Linked DNA regions of Saccharomyces cerevisiae S288C. Changing the gene in region 3 together with the main gene of any one other region gives a genetic interaction. Each region holds a gene or a part of one and is shown on either strand. Other genes may lie near its edges. The genes, in order: GMC1, YFL051C, YIL165C and FRE7.

What was found.
Region 1: mutations in YIL165C (region 3) and GMC1 together harm fitness more than expected from each alone (negative genetic interaction), as found in Saccharomyces cerevisiae (one large-scale study listed by BioGRID).
Region 2: mutations in YIL165C (region 3) and YFL051C together harm fitness more than expected from each alone (negative genetic interaction), as found in Saccharomyces cerevisiae (one large-scale study listed by BioGRID).
Region 4: mutations in YIL165C (region 3) and FRE7 together harm fitness more than expected from each alone (negative genetic interaction), as found in Saccharomyces cerevisiae (one large-scale study listed by BioGRID).

The regions. Positions count from the first base shown.
Region 1 is NC_001136.10:1,457,046-1,465,640, forward strand, and holds GMC1 (putative oxidoreductase), read right to left. Parts: upstream 4,510-8,595; coding exon 2,683-4,509; downstream 1-2,682. Other genes in the region: PSP1 (Psp1p), read right to left, coding at 1-2,175; protein kinase GIN4, read right to left, coding at 5,313-8,595. UniProt on the Saccharomyces cerevisiae protein: Could be an iron transport multicopper oxidase, which is required for Fe(2+) high affinity uptake. May be required to oxidize Fe(2+) and release it from the transporter. Essential component of copper-dependent iron transport.
Region 2 is NC_001138.5:27,546-34,788, reverse strand, and holds YFL051C (uncharacterized protein), read left to right. Parts: upstream 1-4,248; coding exon 4,249-4,731; downstream 4,732-7,243. Other genes in the region: putative Mg(2+) transporter ALR2, read left to right, coding at 1-1,517; ZNF1 (DNA-binding domain containing protein), read right to left, coding at 5,160-6,557.
Region 3 is NC_001141.2:30,327-37,354, reverse strand, and holds YIL165C (uncharacterized protein), read left to right. Parts: upstream 1-3,277; coding exon 3,278-3,637; downstream 3,638-7,028. Other genes in the region: YIL163C (uncharacterized protein), read left to right, coding at 103-456; NIT1 (Nit1p), read left to right, coding at 2,669-3,268; SOA1 (Soa1p), read left to right, coding at 4,789-6,417.
Region 4 is NC_001147.6:34,686-43,458, forward strand, and holds FRE7 (putative ferric-chelate reductase), read left to right. Parts: upstream 1-6,062; coding exon 6,063-7,925; downstream 7,926-8,773. Other genes in the region: ZPS1 (Zps1p), read left to right, coding at 1-722. UniProt on the Saccharomyces cerevisiae protein: Cell surface metalloreductase. May be involved in copper homeostasis.

The DNA.
Region 1 (8,595 bases), on a different chromosome or scaffold from region 3:
TTCTGCGTTTAAAATCTTGATATTCAATTTAGGCTTTGAATAAGTTGCAGCATTCGTAAAATTATTGGAAGAACTGTCATTTGTATTTTGAGATTTTGAATTATCATTTAACGCTTGTAATTTACTCTGAGCAATATGCAAGGCTTTTAATTCATCTTCAAATTTATTGTGCAAATTCGTTGTTACCTCCCACGGGGTGGCAAAACGTAAGACTTGTTTAGATGGTATGATTAACTCAGTTAATTCAACAACATCATACAATTTGGGATTTAATTTTTTCTTTTGCCCATTTTTTGAGTCAATCAACATTTGAATAAACTCATCATTGCGATAGTGCTGTGACTCACTTGTAATTAAAGAGTCAAAGTGAATTTTCTTTTTCAGAAAATTTATAAATAATGCTAAATTCAAATCGACAGAGGGCTCAACAACCAATACTAAATCCCTTCCACGGTCACCATCAATAATAACCAAGTCACCTCTCTTTAACAACAAATTGGTAGCTTGTGGAGTAGATAGTAGTTCAAGTTTCCCATTTTTCAAAGCAACCAGTACCAATGGTGTATAAGGTAAAAAGGAGTTATTAGCATTCCTGCATGATAGTTCTGTTGTGAAAGAGCCCTTCCTCCTATTTTTATTGCCTCCATTATTGGAAACAATTCCATTATTCGACTCTGGATCATTAACGTAATTCATGTTGCAACTTCTTAAAATGTCCAAGAAATTTAATAAAGATTGGTATGTATTACCTTCTTCATCGATTAAGCCCATGTTCTTCGCGTCGTAACTTTCATTAGAATCGTGCAACTTCAGCATTTTCTTAATATTATCTGTGAATTCAAAAACTGCAGAGCTAGCAAAATAGCCGCTGCCACAGTCGCTGTATAAATCGTGTAAGGTTTTGGACGAAGTCAAGTGTTTACCCTGAATTAAAACTAAACCATTGTCCAAAGATACATTTCCTTCATTGCTGTTCTCGTTCTGAAGGTTATGTGAGTTTGTAGAAGAAGGGACAGAACTGCTTCTTTGAAGTTGAACAAGCTGAACATCATCAACACGTTCGCCATTGAAAGAAGTAGGTACATTAACGTTTCTTGGTTGTTGTGGTTGTTGTGGTTGTTGCTGTTGTTGTTGAAAAGTAGGAAGGGATGGATTGAAGCTCGCTACCGGTTGTGTATTCCGGCGAAACTGTTGCATTGGAACCATATTGTGACTGTTGTTGTTGTTATTACTATTGCTGATACTGGCATTATTAGGCTCGTTATCATAAGGATACGGAGGTTGTACACCATTTCCAAACTCGGGCACACCTTTGGCGGTCAAATGGGTTGAGTTCAAGTTGTCATAGTTGAATCTGCTATTGAAAAGATTGAAACCTTGAGCGTGTTGCTGCTGCACTTGGGATGTTTGCTTTTGCCGAGCGTCAGGCATTTGATGGTTGATTAGAGTATCTGATATGTAGGAGGATCTCCTAATGGTAGACTCTGGATGAGATGGCTGTTGCCAATTAAATGATGGTACTTGTTGGTTGTTCATACTAGATGGGTTGCCAGCACTGTGTGATGGGGCAGCAAAATTGCTGCCGCTATTGGAAGTAAAACCTATGTTTGTTTTATTCATTAAACGCATGTAGTCTGAATCCATCCGATTCCCCATTAGGTCGTTTCCATTTGAATGAAATGAATTTCCATTAAATTGCGGGAACGACCGTTGTTGAGCTTGATAATTACCCATTTGAGTAGAGTTTAAATTATTGTTATTGGATGAAATGGGCGGTGCGGACATCGGCTCTGAATTAGACGAAGACATTTGAAAAGAGGTCAAATTACTGGAAGGGTGTTCTTGAATGAACCCGTTCTGGTGAGAAAACGGTTGCTGTTGTTGATTTGGCACTGGTGGCAAATACGGAAACCTACCCATAAAATCAATATCGTCAAAAGTCCTCCTGTTTTCCATACCATTTCCCGCACTTTTTATTGAGTTTCTCAAATTATTCAGGCCAGCAAGCGGATCAACCGTATCACTTCCTGAATTATTGGAGTTATCATTCAGTTTACGGGGTAAATCGGATAGCGATTTTCCGCTGTTATTCTTGAAAAGCAAGTCCTCATAGTAGTTCTTTAAATCCACATTGTCGGAAATGCTTGTTGTGCTATTAACAGTTGGGAGGTCCATTTTGCAACTGTATTTCTATTGAGCACTGTATCAGACACCGCTTTTTTTGATTTATCCTTCGTTTTTTTCTCTATAATTCTCTTGAGCCTTTCAATACACTTTATTCTTTTCTATATACGCTGTTTACTATATCAAAGAACACTCGAACTGATGCTATCTCTGTTTCTAACTGCCGAACCAATGAAAAATACAGCTCTTAATTATCAGTGAATCCTTCTTCTTATCCTTTATTTATTTTTGTTTTGTTCCTTTAGCTAAAACACGGATCCGTAATGTTATCCAACACGATTAGGGGAAGGATTCGTCTCCAAAAAACCGTTATGACCCAATCCTATATGACCTACGGCAGTCAGAGAAATACAGGTTTTCGCACTCGGAGGCGATTGTCGCCAATGGAAAGCTAGCCGATACTTTTTCCGTCAGCTTTGCGGGTTTTCTTTTTTGCGGCCTTGTAAACGGCTGTGGGAAAAGCGAAAAAAAGCAATGAGTTGGGAGAAATGGATGTGATTACATGAGCAACCAGTAGAAGATAGCATCAACCGCACACATGATTAGGATGTAGACGGCTATTACCTTGGACTTATTTTGTTCAAGTGCGGCTGTATGGACAACAGTGTTAGGGTCAGGTTCCTTGGTAGGGTACGATAATACAGCTGTAGTTGCTTGTTTGGTACTGTCCTCGGTTGTTGTCGGAACCTCAAAGACAATGCCAAGCCCCTTCATCATGTGCCACTCCACATGACAATGTAAAAGCCATTTTCCGGGCATCTCGGTGTTAATTCTCAAAACCGCGTAAGAATTTCCTGCAATGTTAATGCTATCCCTTACCATCGGTGCCTTTCCGGTTCGGGCCAGGTGACGTAAATCGTTCTGATAGCGGCTCCATGCCTTGCCCTCTTGTACGTCTTTGTGAAATGGGCCATCACCTTTATTGCCAAGAGATATTATCTGGAAGTGATGGCCATGCATATGCCATGGGTGTCTCATGTGGTCCAGTGAGTTGATTACAATATCATATGTTTCGTTGAATCCGAACCTTACCGGGTCTTTTACGTACTCGCTGAATGTCCGTTCGTTCACCTTATACATCCCAGTCCCATACTTTTGTTTCGTGCTTTCATCTTTGTAATAAGCATAATCGAATTCGAAAACTGCAACAGGATCAGCCTTTGTGCGTAACTTTTTATTCTCTTCTTGCGTTGGTTCTATGTCGCGATAAAGCTCGGCCTTAGTGAAACCAGGCAAGTGTTCGATGGAAACGTCATTGGGGTTCTTTGGTAGGTCCAAATGAGCGCCTTCTTTGTAAAACCACCACTGTTTTGTTATATAACCCATCATTTTGTTACAGCCATTAATCATACGAATAAAACTAGTGTCAGACTTTAGTTTGACCAAAATTGTATATCTTTGTCCGACCGCTAAATTTATCGTTTGTACAATGAACGGTTTAATCATAATCCCGTCGGCTTCTAGAACAATTAATTGGAATCCATCAAGGTGAAAGACTTGAGTACCAGACATTCCTGAGTTTACGATTCTCAAAAGAAGATACTCGGTGTTAAATCCTATTTTGATAGTTTCACCGTCAGATGATTTTCCATTTATTAATGATCCATCAAATTTGGGATCTGTACCCCCGGTAGATGACAAAACCTTGTCGTTTAAAATGTCCAAATTCCAATTGGTATACCAATCACTCAAAGTGATAATCCTTTCTTGAACTTCATAATCCGTCAATTCCTTCGTGTGTTTATCTTTTTTCATTGTAACAACACCGTCATCTAGTGTCTCTATGTCTCTCACAGAATTAATAGTATTTGCCACATGATTATCATAATCATCGCATTCAACTATCAGAACACCTCTCATACCGTCACCGTATTGTACTGATGAATGCGAATGGTACCAAAAAGTACCACAGGTTGATTGATCAATGGTAAAATTATACCAATAACTTTCTCCATATCCAATAGTGGGCTGTGTTAAACCTGGAATTCCATCAAATTCATTTGCTAAAGGTACCACCCCATGAAAATGTAAAGCTGTTGAACAGTAATCCTTCCAAACATCACTGTCTTTACTAGCTTCTTCTTCTGAACATATCCAGTTAGTCAATTTCAAGTTAAGAGTGTCACCGGATTTAACTCGAATTTCTGGGCCAAATGTAGCGCTGTAGCCATTTATGGAGATAACTCTTCTCTTATCAAGCGTGTATTCACTGCTCGCATTGAATTCTAAGACATGTATTTTGCCTTCCTTAGCGGCCATAATAAATTTTAATAGTATTAAGAGTAGCATTGGCAACTGAACCGGCTTAAGGAGAATGACCTTCATTCTAAACAAGTTGTCCACGGAGTTTTGCAATAATTACTTAATAACTTTGTTTAACCGCCCAGTATGTGCCACTTTATTAGCTTTGGCCTTAATGTGGACAGCTGAGATGAAGGTGGATCCTCTATGACTATCCCCGAAAAAAATGTAAACTAAAAAATATTGGTTGCTAAGAGATTCGAACTCTTGCATCTTACGATACCTGAGTATTCCCACAGTTCACTGCGGTCAAGATTTTTTCTTGAATCAGGCGCCTTAGACCGCTCGGCCAAACAACCACTTATTTGTTGAAATTTTTGTATCATATGTTTGTATATATCATATCCCATTTTTTAAGAGAGTAACTTCTTGTCGGCCTCATTGTTCATAATTTGTAGCCAAGTTGTAGTGATAAATAATAATTTAGGCAGATATTCTTATATGCTTGAGTGGAACTTCTAGCATATTCAGTATACTTGATATTAAAGCCTTTAACAACAATTAATGTTCGGAAAATTAAACTGTTACATAATTTATGTTTAGCTCTTACTTTAATCCCAAAGAGGGCAAATAGCTTTTAAATCTTCAACTACTATAACTATAACTACTTTTCTTTCATATATAGTTAGAAAAACAAACGGTTATACAAATAGTAATCAACACGATATTTTAAGGGTAAATATAATAGTACATAGAGTCCAGTACCTCCATTAGATTGTTATTTAAAGTATTAATACGGAGGGGAAAAAATAAGCAAAAATAATATGAGCGAAATATTATGGCAGAACAAAACGAAGGAGACAAAACATGATTGCATTACATTAGCACTATTTTTGTAGAACGCCTTCCTTATTCAGGACGTTCTCAACTTCATTGACCAACTTTTTGACAGCTTTGAATGAACCAGAAACTTTCTTGAACTGCACAACGCTCATCTTACCTCTCGGATAAATATTAACCTCAAAGAGTGTTGAACGTAGTGAGAATATATTATCACTCGATAGTTTACCCGTTAAGGTCAGATTGTTGGGGTGCGATTTTATATTTTTTAAACCATACTGAGTCCAACCACGCAACAGCTTCTCTAAACCATTAAACAATTGTTTTGCAGAAATCTTGGCATACAATTCCATTGTTTTGTCCGAAGATTTTGAGAATTTTCTAAAGAAGGAACCATTTCCAATTGCTGTATTTTTATCCTGCTTATGCTCTTTTAAGTGATCTTTTGAATGATCCTTTGCCTGCGAGCCAGCATTTTTTTCCCTAATTTTTTGCACAGATTTGTTCAATGGTGGCTCCATATCATCTACTACTTTCTCTCTTTTTTCTTGATCCTCTTCTTGTTTGTGTTGTTCTGGCTTTTTCTCTTCCTTTTCCTCATTTTCTTCTTCCTTTTCAGTATGTGAAGAAGAGCCTGATTCTGGTATCATCGATTTAATCTTTGGATGTGCCTGGTCACCCTCTTGGCTATTCTGTTTACGCAATTCATTGTCACCATTAAGCGGAGGAAGGATCGGAAGATGTAAGTTATCAGTTTGTTTCGCTTCGTTCGATCCATTAAAACGATCTGCAAAGTTCAGCTTTAACGCGGATTTGTCTTTGATAGTGGAATCACCGACATCGTACAATCTCTCATCGTTCGAACTATTTCCTGTATATTCAGCTTCTTCGTTGACAGTTTCAAAAAGAAATTCTGAATCATCCGCACTTCTTGGTGTTGGAATTCTTTGGCTTTGTTGGTTATTGACATCAAGGTTACCGTTTTTCAAAATATCAACCAAGTTGGTAAACGACTCCTTGGTAGAGTACATCGACAGGACAGATAGCCTTTTATTGGACTCACTAAAATGCCTTGATTTTCTAGTAAATTGTGGTACTCTAATTTCAGAGATCTTCCTCAACCTACCATCAGAGACGGGAGCAGTTGTTGCGGTACTATCCTTTAATTGAGATACGCCATTCCCATCCTTCGGGAGGATCAAAGATTCATATCCATCATTAGAATCTGACACCACTCGCTCCTCTGACAATCTTTGTGGTGCAATTATACTTGGATATTCCATTTTAGACAATTTCAACTCTTTATCGATATTAAATGATGAACCCAAGAATTTTGATCTTCTGATAGTTTCTAAAATTTTCTTTTCTGTTGTAAGTCTTTCATTTTCTGTTCTCTTTGGTTCCACTGGACTTACTTCCTCAGTTGGACTGGAGAACATTATACCCGGATCAAGCCTTGACACAGGTCTAGTTTGTAAAGAAAAGTTGCGGCGACGGAGAATATTGTCAATATCAACCTCCAAATGATTGATATTTTTCTCTTCATTTTCCATAGGAGCAGAGATAGATCTAATATTACCATCCAGTTTTTCCTCTTTGTGTTTGGACAGCTCTTGCTCTAGATCACTTATATCAATTTCAATTTGCTTCTTGAGTTCCTCCTGTTTTCTTTTCAGATCTTCCTTTTCTAGTAATTTTCTTGCACGTTCTTTTTCTTCTTGTTTACGTCTTCTACGTTCCAGCTCTTCACGTGCTTTTGCTTCTCTCACTTTACGTTCTAGCTCTTCCTTCTCTTTCCTTATTTGTTCGTACTTTTCGTACTCAAAAATTTCATCTATCAAAGTTGCAAAATTTGAGCTCGTTCTCTTTGTTTCCTTCTCAATGTATTCCCAATCGTCATCCTCTGCCAATTTCGCATATGTTGACATTAATTTTGTTGTCACCGATTCACGTTTCATGCTTGGTATCAATGACATTCTCTTGATAGATCTAGAAGATCTTTTGTTCTTCTTGGTAGTAGAAAAGATAGAGGCTCTTTTTTGATTCTTTTCCACATTTATAACCGAAGCTCTTTTATTACGTGATGCTGGTGTTGGAGAAGATTGGTTAACGATTGTAGATAATTTCTTCTTTGAAGAGAAGTTTTTTGAAAGGCGTTTTGAAGAACCGGGTGTAGTTAGATTGCTGGAGGAGGCACTGGAGGCAGTGAATTTGTTGAAGGATATTGGCTTTTTACGAGAAGATGTTACACTAATTAAAGATTCTCTATTTCTTCTGCGTTGTGGAGTTGTCGATACTTTTTTAGATGGGGAAACAGAAACGCTACTAATTGACTGCCTCTTCTTAACTTGCTGTTGCTTAATAAGCTCTTTTTGAGTGTCACACTTAAATCTATACAGTAGTGCATATAATGTCTTTTCTGCATTAGCGCCAGGTTCTCTTAGTTTTTCCTTAATTCCTTCAGGATCTCTTCCATGCCATAATATTACTAAATTTTGCAAAATCGTAGCGTCAATAGAAGAATTACTTTCTGATAATGGCGTGAGATATGTGTCTTCTCTTGGTAAGCCTCTAATACTTTTAGAATCTCTTATACTTGGATATTTTTGTAATAGCGGATGTTTGAGTATATCTCTGGTCTTGATTCTTCTTTCAGGATCAACGGTTAAGATTTTTCTAATCAAATCCTGAGCTTCACGCGAAATTTCATCATCAGAAGGCATTTCGAACTCACCTTTTTGAACTTTAAGTAATAGTGTTCTTATATTTCCATCTTCCTCGTCAAAGGGTAACCGACCAGTAAGAAGGGCGAATAGGATCACACCGCATGACCACACATCACTTGCGAAACCTTGATACGGTATACCAGATACAATTTCTGGTGCAGCATAATGTGGTGATCCGCACGACGTCTCCAGTAGCTTTCCTTCAGTTTCCAAAGCAGCCATACCAAAATCTGCAATCTTGATGTTATATTTATGATCTAATAATAGATTTTCCGGTTTTAGATCACGATGGACAATACCCAACGCATGACAGTACGACACACCAATAATAATTTGTCTAAAAAACCTGATAGCTTCATGCTCTGGCAGAGGACCTCTCTCAACCAATAAGTTGAACAACTCACCTTTCTCCGCGTATTCTAAAACAAGGTATAAATCTGTATTTGTTTCCCAGACATCATATAAACGTAACACATTTGGGTGGTTTAACAACTTCATAATGATTATTTCGCGTTCTATACCATATGGTAGAGCATCTGGGGTGGTGGAGCCAACAATCGAAGTACCGCTGACATTACCGGTATTGAATACTGCTTTTGATATT
Region 2 (7,243 bases), on a different chromosome or scaffold from region 3:
ATTGCAGCGTTAATGAGATGTACGTATCTGAAAACAATGAATCTGTGAGGGAAGATGATAAACCTGATCTACACCCTGACGTAACATTTGGTAGAAATAAGATTGAAGGTGAAAAAGAAGGAAATGATTCGAGTTATAGCCGGGCGTATTATACCCTCCAAAATACAGAATATCAAATTCCTAGTAGATTTTCGTTCTTCCGCTCTGAATCTGATGAAACTGTGCATGCTAGTGATATCCCTTCTTTGATATCCGAGGGACAGACGTTTTATGAGTTATTCAAGGGAGGCGATCCAACGTGGTGGTTGGATTGCAGTTGTCCAACTGATGATGAAATGCGTTGCATAGCAAAAACATTTGGAATCCATCCTTTGACCGCGGAAGATATCAGGATGCAAGAAACGCGTGAAAAGGTAGAGCTTTTCAAATCCTATTACTTTGTCTGTTTCCATACATTTGAAAATGATAAAGAATCGGAGAATTATCTTGAACCTATAAATGTTTACATCGTTGTTTTTAGGTCAGGTGTCTTGACTTTTCATTTTGACCCAATATCACACTGTGCCAATGTAAGAAGACGTGTAAGACAATTACGTGACTATGTCAGTGTCAATTCAGATTGGTTATGTTATGCTTTAATCGATGATATCACAGATAGTTTTGCTCCGGTTATTCAATCCATCGAGTATGAAGCTGATTCGATTGATGATTCAGTGTTTATGACCCGTGATATGGATTTTGCAGCCATGTTACAAAGGATTGGTGAAAGTAGGCGTAAGACAATGACGCTGATGAGACTCTTGAGCGGTAAAGCAGATGTTATCAAAATGTTCGCCAAAAGATGTCAAGATGAAACTAATGGTATTGGGCCAGTGCTTAAATCTCAAACTAACATGGTGAACTTACAAGCGGAACAAGAGAATGTGAACCAGAATAATAGTAATAACCAAATAAGCTTATCAAATAGCTATATGCAAACAACATCACAACCAAGGGGAGATATTGCTTTATACTTAGGTGATATTCAGGATCATTTGTTGACGATGTTTCAAAATTTATTGGCGTACGAAAAGATTTTTTCTAGATCACATGCAAACTACCTGGCCCAATTACAAGTGGAATCATTTAACTCTAATAATAAAGTTACAGAAATGTTGGGTAAAGTTACTATGTTAGGTACAATGTTAGTTCCATTAAATGTTATTACTGGTCTGTTCGGTATGAATGTAAAAGTTCCAGGAAGAAATGGAAGTATTGCGTGGTGGTATGGAATTTTGGGGGTACTGCTTTTACTAGCTGTCATAAGCTGGTTTTTAGCTAGCTATTGGATCAAAAAAATAGACCCACCTGCAACGCTCAACGAAGCCGCAGGTAGTGGGGCCAAATCAGTCATATCTAGTTTTTTACCGAAAAGAGATAAAAGATTTAACGATGATTCTAAAAATGGCAATGCGAGAGTTGGCGTTCGAAGGAAATCAACTGTCAGTCTACCCAGTAGATATAGCCGTTACAATTAACATGACCGCTATGGTAGGTCGGCAGATCTTTAGCAGGCAGAATAAAAGTCTGCCGAACAACAAGTTCCTGAATTTTGAAAATTTTTGGCACATTGGTTGACTGCTTTTAAAGCATTTTTTTGATATGAGGGCACAAAAATATGACGCTTCACTTAAAGTTTCTCATATTCTGACACACTTCAGTGATTTTTTAAATCACATTGCATATTTATACCGTAAAAGTTGTAGAGTTAGTTTTCTTTATGTAGGCCAATAAAATAAATTTGCTTGAGCTGCATTACTAGCAACATAATTGACCAATTTATACGTTTAGTTTTAACATCATCACAATGGTGTATAAAAAAAATTGGTACCGAACCATGATATAACAGACTTCTGATCAGAAGTACGAAGTAAAACCAGAGAACATTACCAAAAACTTTTATGATGTATCTATATTGTTAAATAAACGAAGCCTGACAGTGGAACTGCGCTTTTTTTATCTTCCTTACCATGACTACCATTTATGAGCGGAATAATCATATCATTTTTACGAAAGCACCGCCTAAACTCAAAAATGGAAATTAGTACAGGCGTATTAAACCAAGAAAATAGAAGCTGTCGCGATACTTATTTACAAAATAAATCTACGTGGCCACATACACATGAAAACCACAATAAACTTCTTGCGTTAGTAAATAACTATAATTTGTATGCCTGGTCAGATTTCTACAGACAGCAAAGACTCCAATAAGCGCTAAATAAAAAGTCAGCATTTTGAATAATCATAGACAAGAACTCTTTTGTCGGAACAATTTACGTATTATTTTTCGAAACATTTCTTTCCCAGATAACATTGAAAACAGAATTTTGAAAGAAATTGCCGAAACCGAAACAGGATAACAAGATTAAACGATGCTATAAACCCCACTGGTAGTATGCAGAATACCTCTTTTTACCCCTTTAAGAGACATGGCATACATATTCCACAATGTGCACTAAGGAGAGTCAACTGCTCACAAAAATGTTAGTCATTATAGAACACCTTGTGAAATTTCGATCGATATCAAAAACCCACACATTTTGTAGACTTTATATGGGGAGAAACTATCGCTCTATCCCGCCGCCTCCCTAAATTCCAATATCCAGACTTTTATGCTTTTCAAATCATGCCATCTAATACTAAAAAGCGCAGGCGTTGTGCGCTTGGTTTGTGTAAGTTAACCAAAAAAGTTAAAAGTATAAGTCTTCTGCATCAAACTAACAGAAAAAAAATTTTTTTTACACTTGAAATGGTTATTGTCTGCTTATTGTGAAGTACGAACATCCTAACAAACGTTGTATGTTGCTTTCTGCGTTTTTCCTTACAGTGCTAGCGTAGAGAATATGAAAAAGAGGGAAATTAAGCAACTGCTTTTTCTATGATTTACCACTGTGAGCCCAAAACTTAACGTGCACCAACACGTGTGCGGCAACCTGGCTGGCCTCTCAATGTAGAAGTAACTGGTTTTCTTCTTGCCCTTTATTTTCTTGTTTTTTAGAACCAATCTCGAGCACTTGGATAATGCAAAACAAATACAATCTATGTCTTCCACACCATCATTTTACTATGCCTGCCACCATACATTTGTCTTTTGCACCATATCTTCATAACCTGTCACCTTGAAACTAAAAAAATATTCACAATGGTGCATGCTTGAAGCACAAACTAGATTAATTTGTTGAGTAAATCATGTGGTTCCAAGGAACAAAAAAAAAAATGCATTACATCACGTTCCTTGCTCTGTATCTCTTCACCTGCAATTACTCAAAAGAAAAAAAGAAATATAATTTTCCTTTGAGCACCCTTGGTAACTTATCTAAGAACACGCGATGTAATCGAAATTTAATAACCTAAAAAAGAAATAGAGATCGGTGACGTTTGACGCTAGCCAATCTCCACGAGATTTATCTGGAAGGGCATCACCCGTCAAAACACTAAGAAATTTGACACCTTATTTTTTTTTCTCCGAAACGTTCTGAGACGTTTCTTTTTTTTTCAGGACGCCACCCTAAATCCGAAAAACCTTACTTGGCATTAGTGTTGTAAAAATTTCTTTTTTCCATCGTGGTTCTGAAAAGCTTGCAGAAAAAAAGTTCGAGAACGTTTTCGTATGACTTATTAAGCTGCCCTTGAACTTGCCTTCCCTCTTCTTTACTATTTTCAGCCAGGGACAGAAATAAAGCAAAATCGTTTAACTTTTATGACCGTAACAGGTAACAATATCTGCTCAATTCGGTTAGTAAAAAAAAAAAGGTTATCGTAGGTTTACTATTTTCACATCGGTGCATAGAATCTATACTCTACTTCCTTTGGAGGGAATTTAGTAGTGCTCGATTAGCAGATAACAGCGCAGGGTTCTATGTAGTACGAAGCACTATCAGGTTTTTTAACGTACGTGAGTTGTTTTTTGTTTCTAATTTTTGGCTTGCCTGGGATAAACGGTGCCCATCAAATTATTAAGACCTGGTGAAAAGAGCGTACCTACATGGGTATCGGGGTTTTTGCCAGAAAGAGCTTTAACTGCAATTGATGCCTACCGGAGATTATTTTGATATCAAAATGCAGGAACGATATCTACTTCCCTAAAGCAGAAAACAAAACATTTTTTTAAAAGTCTTTCTTATATAAAGGTAACCTTCATTTCATGATAGCCAGATGATAATCTTAATGTAACAATTGGAGGATACCAGCATCCCTCCACACCTTCAAATGTCTATACCCCATTCCGTATTTTCGGCACTCTTGGTCTTCGTGGCGCTAGCTACTACAACCTTAGCCAGTACAGAAGCTTGCTTACCAACAAACAAAAGGGAAGATGGTATGAATATTAATTTTTATGAGTACACAATAGGCGACCAAACCACATACTTGGAGCCTGAATATATGGGCTATGAATACTCCAATACAAAGAAGTTAGGTTCCGTTAGCGGACAGACCAATCTCTCCATATACTATAGTCCGCCTTGTGAGAGCACTCCTACCTGTGTGACTTATGCAGTTTTGAAGCGTGATGAGGATGGATATGATCCTTGCGGACCTCTTTATGAAACTAAAAAACGTGACACTGAATACTGTGACCCAAATACTGCCTATTGGAGTTCTGATCTTTTTGGTTTCTATACTACTCCAACTAATGTAACTGTGGAAATGACAGGGTACTTAATATGGAGTATGGGCAACCGACGCCGTTGAACCTCTCCTTGGAGATTCTGATAATTTTATGACCATGACTTCTCGTGCACCTTACAGGAAACTTTAATGGCCTGATAAGTACAGCTATATTGTGATCACAATTATTAAAAACTAACTCATTTCATCTATAACCAAGTACAAATCGCACGACTATCATGACGATAAAAGCGTATATCCTTGATTTAATTCACATCACAATCACCCCCCTTGAAAAAAAAATAAATTTTTTTTCTTGCTATAATAGCATAATTGTCCACAAGTTCACTATTAGTGCTATCATTCTTCCCCACTGCCGCAAAATTGCAAAGGAAATAATTGTTTGCCCTGCAGGAACCATATACTAAAGAAGAAATAGATGCTATTAGCCTCTTCAACTGTCCGTAATCACTACATCTTGAAAGGTAAAATGCAAGTAGCAATGTGTTTACTTAAGGAAGCGCATCTACATCTTCTTTAGAACCATCTGTCGATTCAAGCGGATTAGAAAGAGGAAGCGTGATAAGCGCACACTGACACTTTGTCGTAAACTTATCAACTAATGTGCTATCACAATGCTTAAGAGAGAAGACAAATTTGGATATATCGAACAAAAAATTCCAAGCCTCCGACTCTGCATTTTGATCGTACTGATTCACAACATCTACCAATGCGTCGGCTATTTCTAGTGCTTTCACTGATATCCCTGGACCGTGAACTGCATAAAGATTTTTTGGGATTAAAAATGTGTCTTCTAACATGTCTCTAGCAATTTCTACTGGAATATGCGTATTCTTGCTATTTGAAAGGAAACTGATTCGCATACCGCTTATTTGAAGCACTAGCTTCCAAGCAAGTGTTCTAATCCAATGCCGTGAAAAAGATATGTCTACATAGCCGTAAGACCATGGTTCTATCTCAAGTGGCACCGTATGAAGTTCCCTCCATATCTTTTTAAGGGAGTCTTCAGTACAGGTTACATTAGCAGAGTCGGTAGCTAGAGCATCAAAGAAGCATTTTCCCGGTACAGTAAATACCCTAATCATCTCCAAGAAGCTGTCGAGAGATAGTCGGGGGTCCGTTACGTTCTCCGGTTGTGGTGGAGCAATCGTGGTATCCAGGCTCGTGGCGCAATGCGTATACACAGAAAAGTATCTTTCCGTTAAGAGAAGCAAATAATAAACTTTCCTTCCAAGCTGCTGCTCATCGAAAGGAAGAAGTTTCAAAGTTTCCTCGCGATGGAACCCCGCCAACTTAATGAGCCCCACGGCTTCACAAGAAAGCCGATACGAAGTTCTTGAGTTGGACATCTGTGCGTAGCAGCGGTTTAGACAATAGTACGTCATAATCTTGAATATATCACTACCGTTAAAATCGTCAAATTCTTGGCGTGATGACATGCAGAAACTGGATAACTGTATCCCAGTAAAGGTAACCCCTCCTTCCGACTCAATTTCAGTCTGCAAATCGCTAAGCGTGGCGGCAGAAAGAGATACCAGGAACCAATACACACAGGTTTCGTCATATCTTTTCTCTAAAAGTTCGTAAAGATCATCATAACACAGCAAAGGCCAGATCACATACAACTTATCATTATAGAGCCGCAGACACTGATCAATTAGTGCCTTTGGAACCTTCATTATGCCACCACTACTACTTTTACTAAATACCTGTACATCATCTACTTTCTTTAAATTTCTCACCTTGACGGGTTTTGGACCTCTTTTCTTCAAAGGTCGAAGATATGTACATTGCAGATTGTGTTGAAGACAACATTTACATGGTTTTTTACGATCACACTTTACTCGACGAATGCAACAACAGTCGCACGCTTGTCTATTGCGGGCCATCTTCGAACTAGAGCTCTTTTACTTTAGCTCTTTTGACAAGACAATGAAGCATTTCTTGAAGGTTTTCTTCTTTTCTCCGTATTTAAGTCAACAAGATATAGCTAATTTATTAAGCCGGGGGTGGGGAAAAACGCGGTAGTAACGTGGGGTACTTTAAAGTGGGGGAGATGGCACAGACAAAGCCGCAGGTACCTCGAGAACTCAGGGGAAAAAGGAACGCAGTTCAATAAGCTACCGATTTGGCAGATCTCAGGAGTAAAAATATAAATCTTAGTGCACATACAAGTGATAACTGCAACTCCAGATTTTTCTTTCGGTCGATTCGTTGATGCAACAATGTCGAAATTATAGTTAGGCGTTTGTTCCTGTAATTTAACTTCAAGTGGAGGAGTCAATGTTCTTTCCTATGTTCTATTTGTGGGATAGAAAAGTTAAAAAGAAGGTTTTTGAGTATCCCAGTGATAGTGCAGTACTACTTCTGTGTATTCCCGATTATTACAACGGCGGAGTTTTTTTCGCATAAACTCAGACTACTAAGTAACTCTCGAGCATCGTGAAGATCCTGATACTTTATCTATGCATTACGTACGGAACGGAGTGAGGCCTTTCTCCAGAAAAATCGTTGAGATGGCATGTAGGTTCTAGATTTGTGACGACACTCAACAAGAAAAGTTTGAGGTGAATAT
Region 3 (7,028 bases):
GTTTTGCTTGTTTCTCTGAGAGAAAAAAAAAAGTAAGATATATGGTAAAAAAAAAGCACAAGAACAAGAGAATGTTTTGAAGAATAATACATATCTATTTATATGTTTCTTTTCAGGAGGAAGGATTATAGGATCGAAATCCAAAAAAAAAAAGTCGTCAAATCTTTCTTCCAAATGGTTTACTATAGAGCCCTTAGGCAACATTTTTGTCAAACAAAGTCGTTTAAGCATTCCTCGAAAAGAAACGTCTCTATGATGGTAATAGGCAAACATCGGGCGTACCTTAAAAGTCTTAGACATCACATAAAGGGATTTATAATCACATTCCTCGTCAGTTTTTCCAGAAACCTCCATGGAAAAACCCTGGACGTGGGGTCGATTAACGCTACGCGTATTTCTTCGCCCCCGGATAATTTCCTAAACTGGGTTTTTTCTTTTTATTCCTGTTCAGAGTAATAAAAATGCGGGGAATAATGGAAGCCCTCATAATGGATCGAGTTCAACAAAGGCACGCCTTTGGTAGAAGAATACTGTGGGCCTTTCTAACGTAGCATACCGACTGGTAATTTGCTCACAAACTATTCTAAATGACGTACTTTTTTGAGCTTTGCTGGGGGAGCGAGAACTACGCTAGGACAACAACTCCCATACGGTAAATGTCTTAGTATGTCGTGCTTGTACAAACGAAACATGATAAAATGGATACCTTCGACAGCTCACCGTGCCCCTGTCCTTTGTTCATTGGGAAACCTCCTGCCGTAATTCTACATACTATACTCGATACCCGAGATTGTGACGTGTGGATGCTAAGCCCCTATAACCTCAAACTTTTTAGCTTGGAAAGGCACTTAACTCAATTATAGGTTGTTGCGAATTCTGAATTTTTACAGCTACTTCTGTAGGGAATTCAGACCTCCGTACGGTATCTCCCTGTTTACTACAGGGGAAAACTTAGTTTTTTTTTTACTATAGTATATGCAAGGCCCTGAAGCTCCATGATATTTCGTAGATTATTCGGCTTCCTATTCAAGGCAATGTCTAGCCGTTTAATGTGCGACGGCATTAGCAAAGCTTCTTCAGTTAATAACTTTTCTACGTTCTTTAGCGCATTAATAGACTGATCGTCTATTACCATCGTGGAAATGAGGTATAGCACCTAAGAATACAGCGAAGGAGGTCTAACTGCTTCCCAGAAGTCACAGGAAAATAAACTTTTTTTTTTTATTTTCCGCTTTTTTCATAAACTTCTTTCACACTTTCCGCTTTTCCATACTTGGTAAATGCACATAATGCTATTGTAATATACAACCATGATTTCACTTCCCCTGGCGCAACAGTATGTTGTTAGCTATGATACAAAAATTTTTTAAGGCCATTTGAAAGCATCAATTTCTCAGAACACACTTCATCTACTGCAAAAGAAGACTTTCGAAGAAAAGTACAAATTGCGACGAACTACTTTCATAGTAACAAAATGAACAGTGACATTGAAAAGCAGAGAATGTTGAACATAGGCTAATTTTACGTTCTCACAGCCTGGCTAGCACCTAGAAACGACGCATGCTGCCATGTTAGTAGTCAAACAAAATTGAAGTGAGGCTCAAAATAGTTTGAATGAACACAACAAAACATTGGATAAGCTGTCATGCTACATTAGCAATACAAAAACCCGCACCCCGTAGTCACGTTCGCCTTCGCAGCTTTTTAAAAATGGCAAAGAGTCTGACTTATGCTCTGTTGACATTTAAGAGATACAATGAATCGATCCAACAATTATTAGCCATCAGTACTTCTCTTTTGTGAGGTAGGGCGACAAGAAAACGCACAAACTAGAGAAGATATTTATGCATTTTTCGGTATATCAGATAAAAGTTGGTAGTGCTCGAGCTTTTCTTTCTATACCAATAAATGCTGCAAAATATTATAATCTAATTAGTACTGAAGTAACTCTAGCAAAGCACAGGTGACAAAATTTGTGCTGGTGATTGTTGGTACTGCTATCGCCAGAATAGTCGAGATGTTTGCATGTATCGACTGCTATGCGCGTAAGAAATTGGAATTTTGTATGGATAACTATGGCCGACCACTGCACCTAGCAACAGTGAAGAACTCGTTTATCGAGAGACGAGTGTCGAGATAACAGATATGACAATTAGATTATGTAGCCGAAACCATATATTAGAGCCAGTAGTTGTTTGATCATAGCTTGATTTTCATTAATTATCAGTCCTCTTCCGTGTAGTGCCTTTTTTCTTCTGCAAGCGAACTTTTTACAGATGGAAGTTCGATAACAGAGGAAAAAGGCGAAAGGTGGTTACTTGAAACATGGTGTATCTTAAAAACCGCTCGAAATTATAGAGGTGAAATTACAAGTTACTTGCGGTTCGATAAGCAAACGCATTTACGCTTATACTTTGGAGCCACATTTCACTATGAACGCCACATTATATTAATCCCACCGCGATTTGAAAACGGTTATCAGTAAAGTTGGCCTAATGCTTACGAAATATGAGCTATCTTTTTTGCTTCGTAAAAAAAATGGAGCCCAGGCCTCCGTGACTCATAAAGGGCAGTGTATATAAATAATAAAAGCTCTTCAATAAGAAAGGGTGATATTATGACTTAGGGTTAGCCAATCACTTTTCGAGGCTACCTCTAGTTAACCACAATGGCGAAACACATTGTTGCTGCCCTTCAAATCGGCTCTTGTCCGGGCTCTACTAAGGATACCTTGAAAAAAATTTTGTCATATGAGAAGGAGATCAAGGAATCTGGTGCCAAGTTGGTCGTTATCCCAGAAGCCACTCTTGGTGGTTATCCAAAGGGATCGAACTTTGGGGTTTATCTAGGCTACCGTCTTCAAGAAGGAAGGGAGGAGTATGCTAAGTATCTTGCCGAAGCAATTGAGATCGGAAACGGAGAGAAATATCCAGAAATTAGTCAGTTGTGCGCACTATCGAAGGCCACCGACGCATCCTTATGTGTGGGGTGTATAGAGCGCGATGGGACGACATTATATTGTACCATGGTTTATATAGATCCTAAAGATGGCTACGTTGGGAAGCATCGAAAACTGATGCCGACAGCTGGCGAAAGACTGATATGGGGTCAAGGCGATGGTTCGACTCTGCCTGTCGTGGATACCGCTGCTGGGAAGATTGGCGGTGCTATCTGCTGGGAGAACATGATGCCTCTACTGAGATACGCCATGTATAAAAAAGGGGTTGAGATCTGGTGTGCCCCAACGGTGGATGCTAGGCCTATTTAGAGGACTGTGATGAAAAATATTGCATACGAAGGTCGTCTATTCTTGATTAGTGCAGTGCAGTTCATGCCAGATGCGACAGCAATGGGCTTTGGGGAGATTATTGACCAAGCTACAGGTAAGAGAAAATTACCTGGATGGCCATCTGCTGACGACAACTGTATTAATGGAGGTAGTGTTATTATTGATCCTTATGGAGAGATTATTGCAGGGCCATTGCTAGGGCAGGAGGGCCTTTTAACCGCCGAAATTAACACTGACTTGATTGCTGAAGCTCGCTTTGATCTTGACCCTGTCGGACATTATGCTAGGGGAGATGTCTTCCAGTTGACTGTCAATGAAAGGTCACACGATGTCAAGTTTACGAAATGAATACCGCATAAATCCATTAACTAGGCTTTCATGAATGGTGGCTCGAAAATATTCGTTAATATCAATATGTCTGTTATATAATGTTTTATGTACAAGAGATAATGTAGATCTGTAATATTCAATCAAATAGGCATTTGTTTGAAATCCATACGTCTCTAAGATATAATCCAAGCCATGATTTTGAAATCAGGATCGCAAACCTGATCATTTAATTTTTACCTTTTTTTAAAATATAAATTAACATTTATTAATAAATAGGTGTATTTGAGAAGTTTCATTTTCGTTCAACAGCCCAGTTATCATCATTTCACAAACAAGAAGGAGATATTAGCATTTTCTCCCGGATCCGATTAACACAGTTTTTTTGTTTAATCCGGTGTGAAGAAGATTTATAAATGTCGTGATATTTTTTAATGTGGAGATTGTACGATGACGGGTAGGAGTCAAGACAAGCTAAAGAATGCAGCCTTAATAATTGCGCCTTTCACAATCAAAATTATGCATTGACCCGATACAAGAATCACCGTGTGGATCAAGCCATTCTTACCAAGCTTACTTTTGCCGTCGCCAAGGCTGTTTGTAGTCATTCTCTGAACTTTTTTCCTTGGCATTCGGCTCGACGCAGAGAATTTCGGATCGATATAATCCCGAAATAGTCCGTTTCTCGGATAATTGTGCCGAAATGCATCATATTACAACGTACTATCTTGAATTGCTAGCATTCTCGTAAGAAAGAAAAACCTCGAGCAAATAGGCTACATTTGCTGCTGCACCCCTTTACAGCACAAAGTCGTTGCAGCTAGCTCCTTAAAATAAGGACCCTGCAGTCATGTGGCATATATAATAGTTGGCGAAGCTTGAAGCCTCACTTAGAGGTTGACGCCTCACTTGAGGTTTCAACATATACTGATGGTTTCATTTCAACAGCCTATGGGTCAATTGGGAATAACTATCAATGCTACCAATTTGTCACACTTTATTGCCTAATAGGTTTGGCGCTTACTATCAAATACATGACGTATTCCCTGCGCTAGGTTCGTCTTCTACTGAATCATTTAGTATAAAAAGGCAGCGTTCAATTGTTGATTATTGAAATTATTTATTGTACAAACAATTAATAAAAAATTCAATCAACAAACAAAGTTTCATCTATGTCCGTACAAAAAGAAGAATACGATATTGTAGAAAAGGCCCAATTATCTGTGTCCGCAGAAAGCTTAACATCAGATTCGGAGAGTATTTCACATAACCCATTTGACGATTTTCATAAAGCAGAGCGTTGGAGAAAAGTCTATGAATCCAGTGGTTATGAAGGCTTGTCTAAATTCGATCCTGAGTTTACATGGACAAAGGATGAGGAAAAGAAATTGGTAAGAAAAATGGACTTGAAGATTTTTTTGTGGGTTTTTATTATGTTTGCCTTTTTGGATTTAATAAGGAAAAATATTGCAAGGGCAGTTTCAGACAACTTCATTGTTGACTTGAAAATGAACACGAACGACTACAACCTTGGCCAAACTGTTTATCTAGTTATATTTCTAGCAAGTGAACTACCCGGCAATCTGCTGTCCAAAAGATTTGGTCCAGAAAGGGTCATTCCGGTTCAAATTGTGTTGTGGAGTGTAATTTGTATTACTCAAGCTGGTCTGAAAAATCGAGGTCAATTTATTGCTACTAGATGCTTATTAGGAATGGTACAGGGCGGGTTCATCCCGGACAATATTCTATACTTGTCATATTATTATACTGGAGCTGAGCTCACATTCCGCCTAAGTTTCTTTTGGTGTGCTATACCTCTTTTCCAAATTTTAGGCTCTCTTTTAGCTTCCGGAATCATAGAGATGAGGGGTATTCATAACTTAGCTGGCTGGCAGTACCTATTTATAATTGAAGGGTTTCTGTCCCTTTCTGTTGGCGTGGCATCCTTTTATTTAATGCGTAGAGGACCTACGCAAACTGGTGAGTCTGCATTTCACAAAGGAAAATCGTTATTCACTGAGTATGAGGAGAAAATTATGGTTAACAGAATTTTAAGGGATGACCCATCAAAGGGTGACATGAGTAACCGACAACCAGTTACCTTCAAGGAGATTTTGTACACTCTAACAGAATTTGATCTATGGCCATTGTTTATCCAAGGTATTACAGCATTCATATCTCTTCAAACAGTTGGTTCCTATTTATCTTTGATATTAAAGAGTTTAAATTACTCTACATTTCTTTCGAACATTTTAGCAATTCCAGGCCAAGCCCTGCTGCTAATAAATTTACCATTAGCGGCACTATTATCGCGTAAATTGAAAGAAAAATCACTTTGTGTGGGAATTGCCAACGTTTGGGTGCTCCCTTTCATAGTTTCTCTGGTCGCTTTACCGACTGACACAAACCCCTGGATCAAGTATATATTACTAACCGGTATACTTGGTCTTCCCTATACACATTCCATTCTTGCTGGTTGGGTCTCCGAGATTTCAAATTCGGTAAGATCGCGTACAGTGGGCACAGCGTTATACAATATGAGTGCCCAAGTTGGAGCAATCATTGCTTCTAACATGTATAGAAATGATGATAAACCTTACTATACTAGAGGTAACAAAATACTTCTAGGATTCACTTGCTTCAACATTTGTATGGCTGTTGCTACTAAGTTTTACTATATTAGTAGGAATAAATACAAGGACCGCAAATGGAACTCTATGACAAAAGAAGAGCAGATCAATTACTTGGACACAACTAAAGATAAGGGAATGAAGCGTCTTGATTATAGGTTTATTCACTAGATTAAGTTTTCGTGTATTAAAATTTTTGCTGTTAGAGTAATGCTACACGCAAAAGCGAGAAGTCATACATCAAAAAAAATTATTACACCAGAGCAACAAAAGGTTAATGCAAAAACTTTTTTTTTTCGAGTTTTTAAGGTAAAGGTCATGGGATGTTATTGCTTTTTAGTAGTTTTGCACTGCTATACCACAAAAGCAGGTGACAGCAATTGTGTGTTCACGGAAACAAAAAAAAGTTTTTGAACATAATAACACCAAAATCTTCGGTAATTGATATCAAAATACAATGACCAATTGTAAATATTCCTCTGAACCAGCCTAATGCTTCTCAAATAATCCCCAAGCACACAAATATTCTATGTAGGAGCTCACAGGTCAACGCGCTAAGCTACCGATGTTACCTTACATTCATAAGGTGTCATCTGTTTATGCTGTTTGCAGATAACCTTCATTTGTGATCTCTTGCAACTTTCTTATCTCAAGATTTCACAATATTCCGCGTGAATCGTAGAATTAATTTCTACATTCATATGTAAATAAAATTTTCTTTACTACTCTCCGAATTATACTAGTTAATTCTTTCTTCTACATATTAGTAATATCAATATACA
Region 4 (8,773 bases), on a different chromosome or scaffold from region 3:
TCTTTGCAACTATTGCTTCTCTAGCTTTGAGTGCTCCTGTCACTTACGACACCAACTCTACTGCTGAGTTACAATCTCCTTCATCTCAAGAAATTCTGGGTTGGAGTCACGCAACTTTTCCTACCATTTACCAAACCTGTAATGAGACGAACGCAAGAATGTTGAATGCAGCTTTTAAGGATACCGCTGAAATCACCGCTTATGGTAAAGATAGACTTTTGAACTATGGTGTCGATGACGTTTACTACAAAAGATGGTTTGGTAATGGTAGTATTTTCACCGTCATGGGTGTCTTTGAGCAATTGATGGAGGCTTCCAAGGGTGCCATGCTCATGAGATGTGATGATATTGATGGCTTGTGTGCAGCTAATCCAAACTATTACGCTGGTCATCACCGTCAATCTGCTCCAGCTGAAACTGTTATTTGTGATTACTTCTACACTTCCAAAAAGCCACTATCAACAATTTGTTTCGAAGGTACTATTGTCGATGTCGGTCCAAAACATTATGCAGGTATTGATATGTTACATCGTTACTTGCACGTCCCTACCATGAGTATGGATGGATATGTTGGCGAGTACGCGGAAACTCTTGAAGAAGTTGTGGACTACACCCAGAACAATGCTACTTACGCAGTTAGAAACACCGACAACTATCTTTACTATCTCGCTGACGTTTACAGTGCTTCTGTTATACCTGGTGGCTGTCTAGGTAACTTGTAATAACCACATCATTACTTCCACAGAATATGTTTTCTATACCGTAAATATTAGTTCGTTTATGTTTTTAAAATAAATTGGAGCTATTCTTTTTCATTGAATTAGATGGTATTTTTTATATGATTGCAAACTTTGACGAGAATGTACTGCTCATTATTTTTCGTAAACTGCAAAAAATTGAGCACAATATAAGTATCTCAGTGCATTGTATACGTGTCGAGTAATGAATCAAACAATAGCATTCTTCTTCTCAATTTTACAATAGTCTGAAACAATTTAATGACAAGTTTATCATAATTGTGTTATTATTATATTTATATTTAGAGGCCTATATTGCGCATCGAACTTTTCAAAATCCGCGCAAAATTATAGAATTCATCATATATAATGAAGGAACTGTGTTCCTGAAAAGAACAAAAAAAGGATTAACTACAAAATGAAACATAAATATGTCTTTTATCAATTAAATTAATGATAATTTATTCTTACCGAACGTTTTCTTCTACCAAGTTTTTCGCCTACGCACCTACATTTCCTCTTTTGAATTTCATGGCAATAAATAGTAAAGAAATCAATGATCGTCTTGGTTTTATTAAAAAACTTGAGAATAACATAACCCTTTAATAGGCCAATGCAACTGATAGAACACCAGAAAAAGTTGTAATGCCAGTGCGGCTGAACAGAATCTGTGGTAATAGATTTCGGGTATAATGCGCAAATTAGGAATACTCATATGTTCAGATAGAATAAATAATAAAGAGACCTTCAACATAAAAAACTAATAGGACCTTCATGGGCAAAAAGACAGGATTACGCTAAAATATACTTCAGTGATTTTCTGTTAATATGCGAAAGAAAGACACATAAAATATTGGTGAACAGGGCAAAAAATTTTAGATTTGTCAGTCAGTGAACAATATTTCAATTGGTCACTTATAGAAAAGATTATTATAATTACCCATGTTAGTGTCGCCAAACACTATTATGAAATAAAGATAATATTCTATTAGCAATGGTCTCAAATTAATATGAACGGGCATCATTGGCACAGAGTAACCATTTTAAAATAAAAAGAGGGCAGGAACTCTCACACATTTCGGTACGAACAAACTGATATACTATATCTATTAAACCGTAATTCCAGACGCGTAATACTACAGCATAATCTTCAATATAGATATGACAAGAAAAGAACAAGTTTTTCCATAATAAGTATCCCATTTTACCTACATTTCCCTTCTTCGGTATGTTAAATTATTAATATTCTTTGCAATTGTTGGCCGTTGAGTAAAGTTCTAATTTCAAAAATACTAGACTTTGACTGAAACGTTATAGGAGTTTTAATATCAATAGACCGTTTGGCCAAGACGCGTTCAACATATACACTGGTCTACCATTATATAAAAAAATTCGCCCATTAATCATGGCCATACTCGTTGACATTCACAATATATTCATAGACAAATGCTACTGCTGAAACGTGTGAAGATGCTGAAATATGTTCATTAACAGAATGTATTGTCCTTAGTTGGTCAAATGGAAAGATACCTGCAACAAATCTATAGATGTTTTTGCTTAATCCCCAGTAATACTTGGTATCGGTATTACCAGAAAACAAGCCACCCGTAACGTAGACATCTGCATCTTTCTGCTCAGCCAAAATTTCGTTTTGAAACAAGTTTTGAACAGTACCTGCAAAAATCTCCCAGACATGTCCTGAAGTTGGCGATACTGGTGCTGGTTCTAACATTTTTTCACTTGCTAAAGAAATGTGGCCAAGTTTTGTTTCCGGGATGATAATCTCGTCATGGAATGTCAAACCATACCCGTGCTTTTCAGCAATAACTCTGGCCCAATACAAATCATTTTACACAGTTTCGTTCACAGATGAATGAATATCCACTCTATGGTTAACAATAAAGCTGGTCAATCCTGGCAATGCATTAGCCTTGACACCGCCATTAATGACATCGACTGCTCTAGTTGTTCTTATTAGGTCACGAATGTCAGGGTGCGATGCAGCAAATTCCGTCAAAACCTTCCTTTTCCCTTCATCCACAGGTGCTTTTAAGATTGCCTCCCTGACATGTGGTGGCAGAAAACCTGAATGCTCGGCAGCACATTGTAATACATCATAAATGGGGTTATCAAGTGAGAAATTATAATCGAATGGGTGATTTTCCATCATATATATCAATTCTGATGCAACACCAATGGTAGTATGGTCAGGTTGTACGGATGAATGACCACCATGACCATGGATACTAATCCTTACGTCAACGTAACCCTTCTCAGCATTTACAGCAGCTGCAATGTAAAGGTTTTTATCCAGTCTTAGGAGTCCAGCACCTTCATCAATAATGGAAAACATGCTATCCGGGCCATACCTTTCCAACAGAAATGGTGCCAAGACTTTAGCGCCCATAAAACCGCTTGACTCCTCATCAAAGCCCAGAGATAATATAACGGTCCTTTCAGTCTGATAACCATCGGCAAGCAGTTGTTCTATACCCTCTAACTCAGCGAGCATTAAGTTCTTACAATCATTGGAGCCGCGACCCCAAACATAGTCCGTTTCTTGATCATAGTGACCCGACAATGGTGGATACTGCCAAGAATCCCATATTTCCCTGTTAACTGGCACCACATCTTGATGTGCCATAAATAATATTGGTTTCAAACTCGGATCTGTACCTTCCCATGTATATAATAGACCCAATTGGTTGACTTTTTCCACCTTTAGATGAGAGTGAACAAGAGGAAAAGTCTCTTAGAAATATTTGTGAAGTTTGAAGAATTCTGAATAGTACTCTGGGTCATCGTTTGGAAGCGGGTTTGTGTCACTAATTTCTGTAGGAATTTGAATGGCACCAGACAACTTTCTTATTGAGTCTATTTTGAATTGCTTATCGTTCAGAATCAAATTCACAGACTTGTTAAACGATGGACGATATACTTGAGGCTTTTTACATTGTGGAGAGGCAGGAACGTCAAAAGTGGAATTTGGGACGGGTTTGGTAAAGCTGCTGATATAAGCTAAGAGCAACGTCAATAAACCAATTAATGGCAGACCAAATTTTTTACACTTAGAATAGGTAGAGGAGGTTGGCTGCTTAGAAGAAGGATACACATCCGGAAGCGGAGCGTGATGAGTCTCTGTCATATAAGCGTTTTAGTATATGGGAGGAATGACAGAGTATAAGCCGTTATGGTATACTACTACGAATACATAATTAAGAATAGGGTTTTAATGTAGTTGCTTGTATATCTTCTATGTTCCCCTTTTTAAGCACCCCTTAGAAAATATATATTGTCGAGGATTTTTCTCCAGAGACCATGAAATGAAAAAGAATCCGAAATATGCACTCCTTCGACCAAGGCTTTAGAGCACCCTCATTTAAAGCCCGACCTGTAGTGCATATGCAAGATTAAGAAAAAGAACAGAGAGAAAAGTCCGCTTTACCATAATGTTAATTTATTCTAAATGCTCTCATTGACTTTTATTTCACCGACCCTGAGTCAAATTTTCGACCATGTTATATACATGCTATTTAGTAATCAAGTGATTAATTTTACCGAACTCAAAGTTGCAGCCGCAGAAAATAGTCATCTGATAATCTTATATATAGATCCGACTTATTAAAGGACATAATTTTCAAAGAATCGGGTACGTGCCTAATGCAATCATGTCGTGTCAATCAACTTCCCCCATACTATATCATTGTTTTACGCCACGTTAATAGGAACCAACGAATTTCTTAAAGCCAATCCTTACTGCTATTTGCAGATGGACTGACGGTTATGCATTCACTAACACCCCAGGTCTTACCGTACCACATATTTAGGTGCAATACTAATCAATTGTCTCTTGAACAGTAACGACGAAAGTATGAACTTCTTATCTATGCTATCTTCAACGTGATAGTTTATGCTACTTTGCAGATGTTTGAGTTAACCTGCTAAAATATATTAAAGCAGCTATAGTTATTTTGAGTTGGTCTATACAACTTCAGGAAAATGTCGTTTGAATATTCCTGCACAACGCTGGGATATTTACAACCAAAGATGCCACTACAAATAATAATGACATGTATATGAGAACATTGCAAACGATTAACGCTGCTCACTTAATGCTATGTAGACTTCAATATATGTCTTTGAAAAACGCTTTTCCACAATCACAGGATAGCAGAGGGATGCCTAGAGGAATACTCCCCGGCTAAAAATGCCTGAGACTGCCCATATATTCCCACGGTAATTATCCATATAATAACGAAATTGAGTTTTCTATAAGTAACATCAGCCCATCACCCATTTATTTGTTCTATAGAATACTATACTCTTTTGCTCCAGTGTCTTACCTCAAGTGGACGCGCTCTCAGTGCCAAATACAGAGACAACAAGGACCTGGAGAGTTGTTCATAACAAAAGTTTCATCATGCCACCAGCGTAATGACAGCCGCAGCAGTGTTTGACCAATTGAACTATGATAAAACTACATTATGGTTTCTGACTATGTCTGTACATCCATGCATCATCTTTTGAAGTTTTTATTTTGATAGCATCCTATTTTGTGACTCTTACTTTACAAGAACGCCAACATAGGGAGTGATTGATATTCTCTGAATTTATCTGGATACAGCCAATGACATCCTGAAATACCTATAGTGACAGTAGCGCATTTCCTGGTCATTTATTAATGGTTTTAGACACAAAATGAAGATAACAGATAATACGAAAGTATCTTAAACTGCAAAGGGGATCTATACGCCACGACTTACTGAACATCTCTGACCAATAGAAGATCCCTCAAGTTTATTAGGCAACTACAGTATGTTATTACAAGAGCATACGCCTGTATTTGGATGGCCAATGAACAAGGAGGATATTTTTTCCACATATAAGTGACCGCCATTAAACAAGACATGTTTGAAATAACCTCCTTCTGTCATACTATGTGCTCACTATTTTCAGAAAATGCGGTTGAAAATCCTCGTCTGCGCAAATTGAAAAAGTCGATATACGTTTCAAGTAACGCAGCCGAAATGCCCGTTTGCCAAGCTTATTATATTTGGAAAAGTGTCAAATTATAGTGCTCGCATCTGGATGTACCGCGCATATTTCTTAGTTAAGCAGGATGTATAACTGCGCATTAATACGTGAGCATTTGCGCAAATTCACTTCTTAAAATCTCTGAAGTACTTCTTCATTATGCACTCGTTTGTTCTCAAGATCATATAAACCATGCCTTTATTACCAATACTAAAAGTTTTTTATTGCAAGTAAAGGGATATTTCAAATTTTTATTTCAAAGTTTATTTATATACATCGATAAATAATAAAATGATTGAAGAAAGAGATTTGGTTTTAAGCAATGGTATCCATTGTATTGCTGACATCCACTCCGAACTATACGCCAGGTTAAAAAAAGAATCGCAGGCAGCGACACCATGGGTGTACCAAAAACAATACGGAAAATTCGTCACTTACTTTGTCGCTGTGATAATTTTTTTGTCTTTGATAAAAAAGCTGGCATTTATGTATTATGATTCCAGTGAGGAATTTCTTCCAGAAAAGAAGAACTCGCCGACTACCCCTTCTGTATTCCTTGCTCGAATAATGACGAAACTTGTCGCATTCAACAGATACATTTGCTACAGGAAATTTCCCACGTTGATATTTTCTTATTTAGGTATTCCGACATCTGTGGGTACTTTTTTAGTAGTAATGGCTACCACTTTATACACACTTCTATACTGCTTTGTTCCTCATCCATTCTACAGACCTTGTGCAGGATTTGGTTCGCCGCCTTTGTCTGTTCGTGCAGGCATAATGGCAATATCTTTGGTTCCGTTTGTATTCTCACTTTCCGGGAAGATCAACGTTATAGGTTGGTTGGTTGGGCTTTCGTATGAAAAAATCAACATATACCACCAATGGGCATCCATTCTTTGTTTATTCTTTAGCTGGGTTCATGTCATTCCCTTCCTACGTCAAGCACGACATGAGGGAGGATATGAAAGAATGCATCAACGGTGGAAGGCATCCGACATGTGGAGGAGTGGTGTCCCACCCATCTTATTTTTGAATCTGCTATGGTTATCTTCGCTGCCTATTGCTAGAAGACATTTTTATGAGATTTTTTTGCAACTTCATTGGATTTTAGCTGTTGGATTTTACATTAGTTTGTTCTATCATGTATATCCCGAATTGAATTCCCATATGTATCTGGTTGCTACAATTGTGGTTTGGTTTGCACAACTGTTTTACAGACTAGCTGTGAAGGGTTATTTAAGACCTGGTAGAAGTTTCATGGCCTCGACCATTGCAAATGTCAGCATAGTCGGCGAAGGATGCGTAGAATTGATCGTCAAAGATGTGGAAATGGCCTATTCCCCAGGTCAACACATATTCGTGAGAACTATTGATAAGGGCATCATTTCCAACCATCCATTTTCTATCTTTCCGAGTGCAAAGTATCCCGGAGGAATAAAAATGCTGATTAGAGCCCAGAAAGGGTTTTCTAAAAGGCTATACGAAAGTAATGACGACATGAAGAAAATTCTTATTGATGGGCCTTATGGTGGAATCGAGAGAGATATTAGAAGTTTTACCAATGTCTACTTGATTTGCTCTGGTTCAGGTATATCTACATGCTTACCTTTCCTGCAAAAATATGGCCCCATACTCCATAAGACAAACTTAGAAGTTATTACATTGGACTGGGTGGTAAGACATAGGGAGGATATATCATGGATTAGAGATGAAATGTGTACCCTCTCAAATAATTTGCGCCAGTTATTTTTAGATGGGAAAATTGTGGTTAGAATTTACGTCTGCTCGGACAGTACCGTCCCTGGTATTATTAAAACTTTCCCTCAAACAATAGACACCGCCAGTGACCAATCTGATTTAGCTAAAAGAGAAAAAGATACCGAATTCGGCCAGGATGATACTGAGTCAAATTCAACTTTCGACAAATCCAATAACGAATATAAAGGTCTCATCACCATTATTCCTTCCAAACCTGATTTGAATCAGGTCATTAATGATTACCAAATTGGGTTCAGGAACTGCTTCATTTGTTCAGGTTCTGACAGCCTAAGGTATACCGTCGGAAATTCCGTGGCAGGTTTACAGGCCAAGGTTTTTTCTAACAAAAATGTCGAAGAGTGCTATTTACACAGCGAGAGTTTTGGCTACTAGTAGGAAACAGATGGCATCCACCATGTGAAATATCATTCAAGCATTTCGGCAAAACCATGTAAATATTTGATTATTAGCGGGTAAATATGTAATAGTTATGCACTTTAATTCTTTTGTTCATCTAGAAGACAATACAACGCATTTCTTGGCTAACCATCTTACAGCCTTGAGGGTAAAGGGCGGGCAAACGAACAAAAGTACAAAATTTCCATCCTTGTTTGATAATCATTTCCTCGGACCAGATAAGAATGAGCAGCCGAAATAAACGGTAACGTGATTAAAACCGCTAGAAGAGTGTTTTTGTAAGGATGAAAACCTCAGTGAGAAAGTTGACAATATAAACATTATCAGCTTTTCTCGCCCTCTTTTGCACTTCCTGCAACATTACTTGTTCTGCAGCTTGTTTCTTCCAAATATATCCATGCTCTCGGTGTGCCACTTCTGGGGTTTCTCACCAATAACAGAACATATCCAGTATAATACATACACCATATTCACACCCTATTTCATATCATTAACCTCTTCATTTTTAAATGCCAGCGATTACTTTGACTTCTAATCAAGAACGCGAAAAAAAATTACCGCGTGAACTATGTCATATTTGCGATTTTAGGTACAATAAATATTATCATTATTATATTATGTTTGCATGTAGGTTCTACAAATACATTGTTGTACGCTATAGTTTCCTTTCAAAACTAGAAAGAATTCGTAACAAAATAATCTCCAATATTTTATAGCACCTTATTAATATCAATGCTGCAATACCTTCTCATTTCAACAATTGGCCCTCACCTCTTTTGTACAAAAAACGTCGCCATTGATAAAATAAGTAAGAAGCATATAAT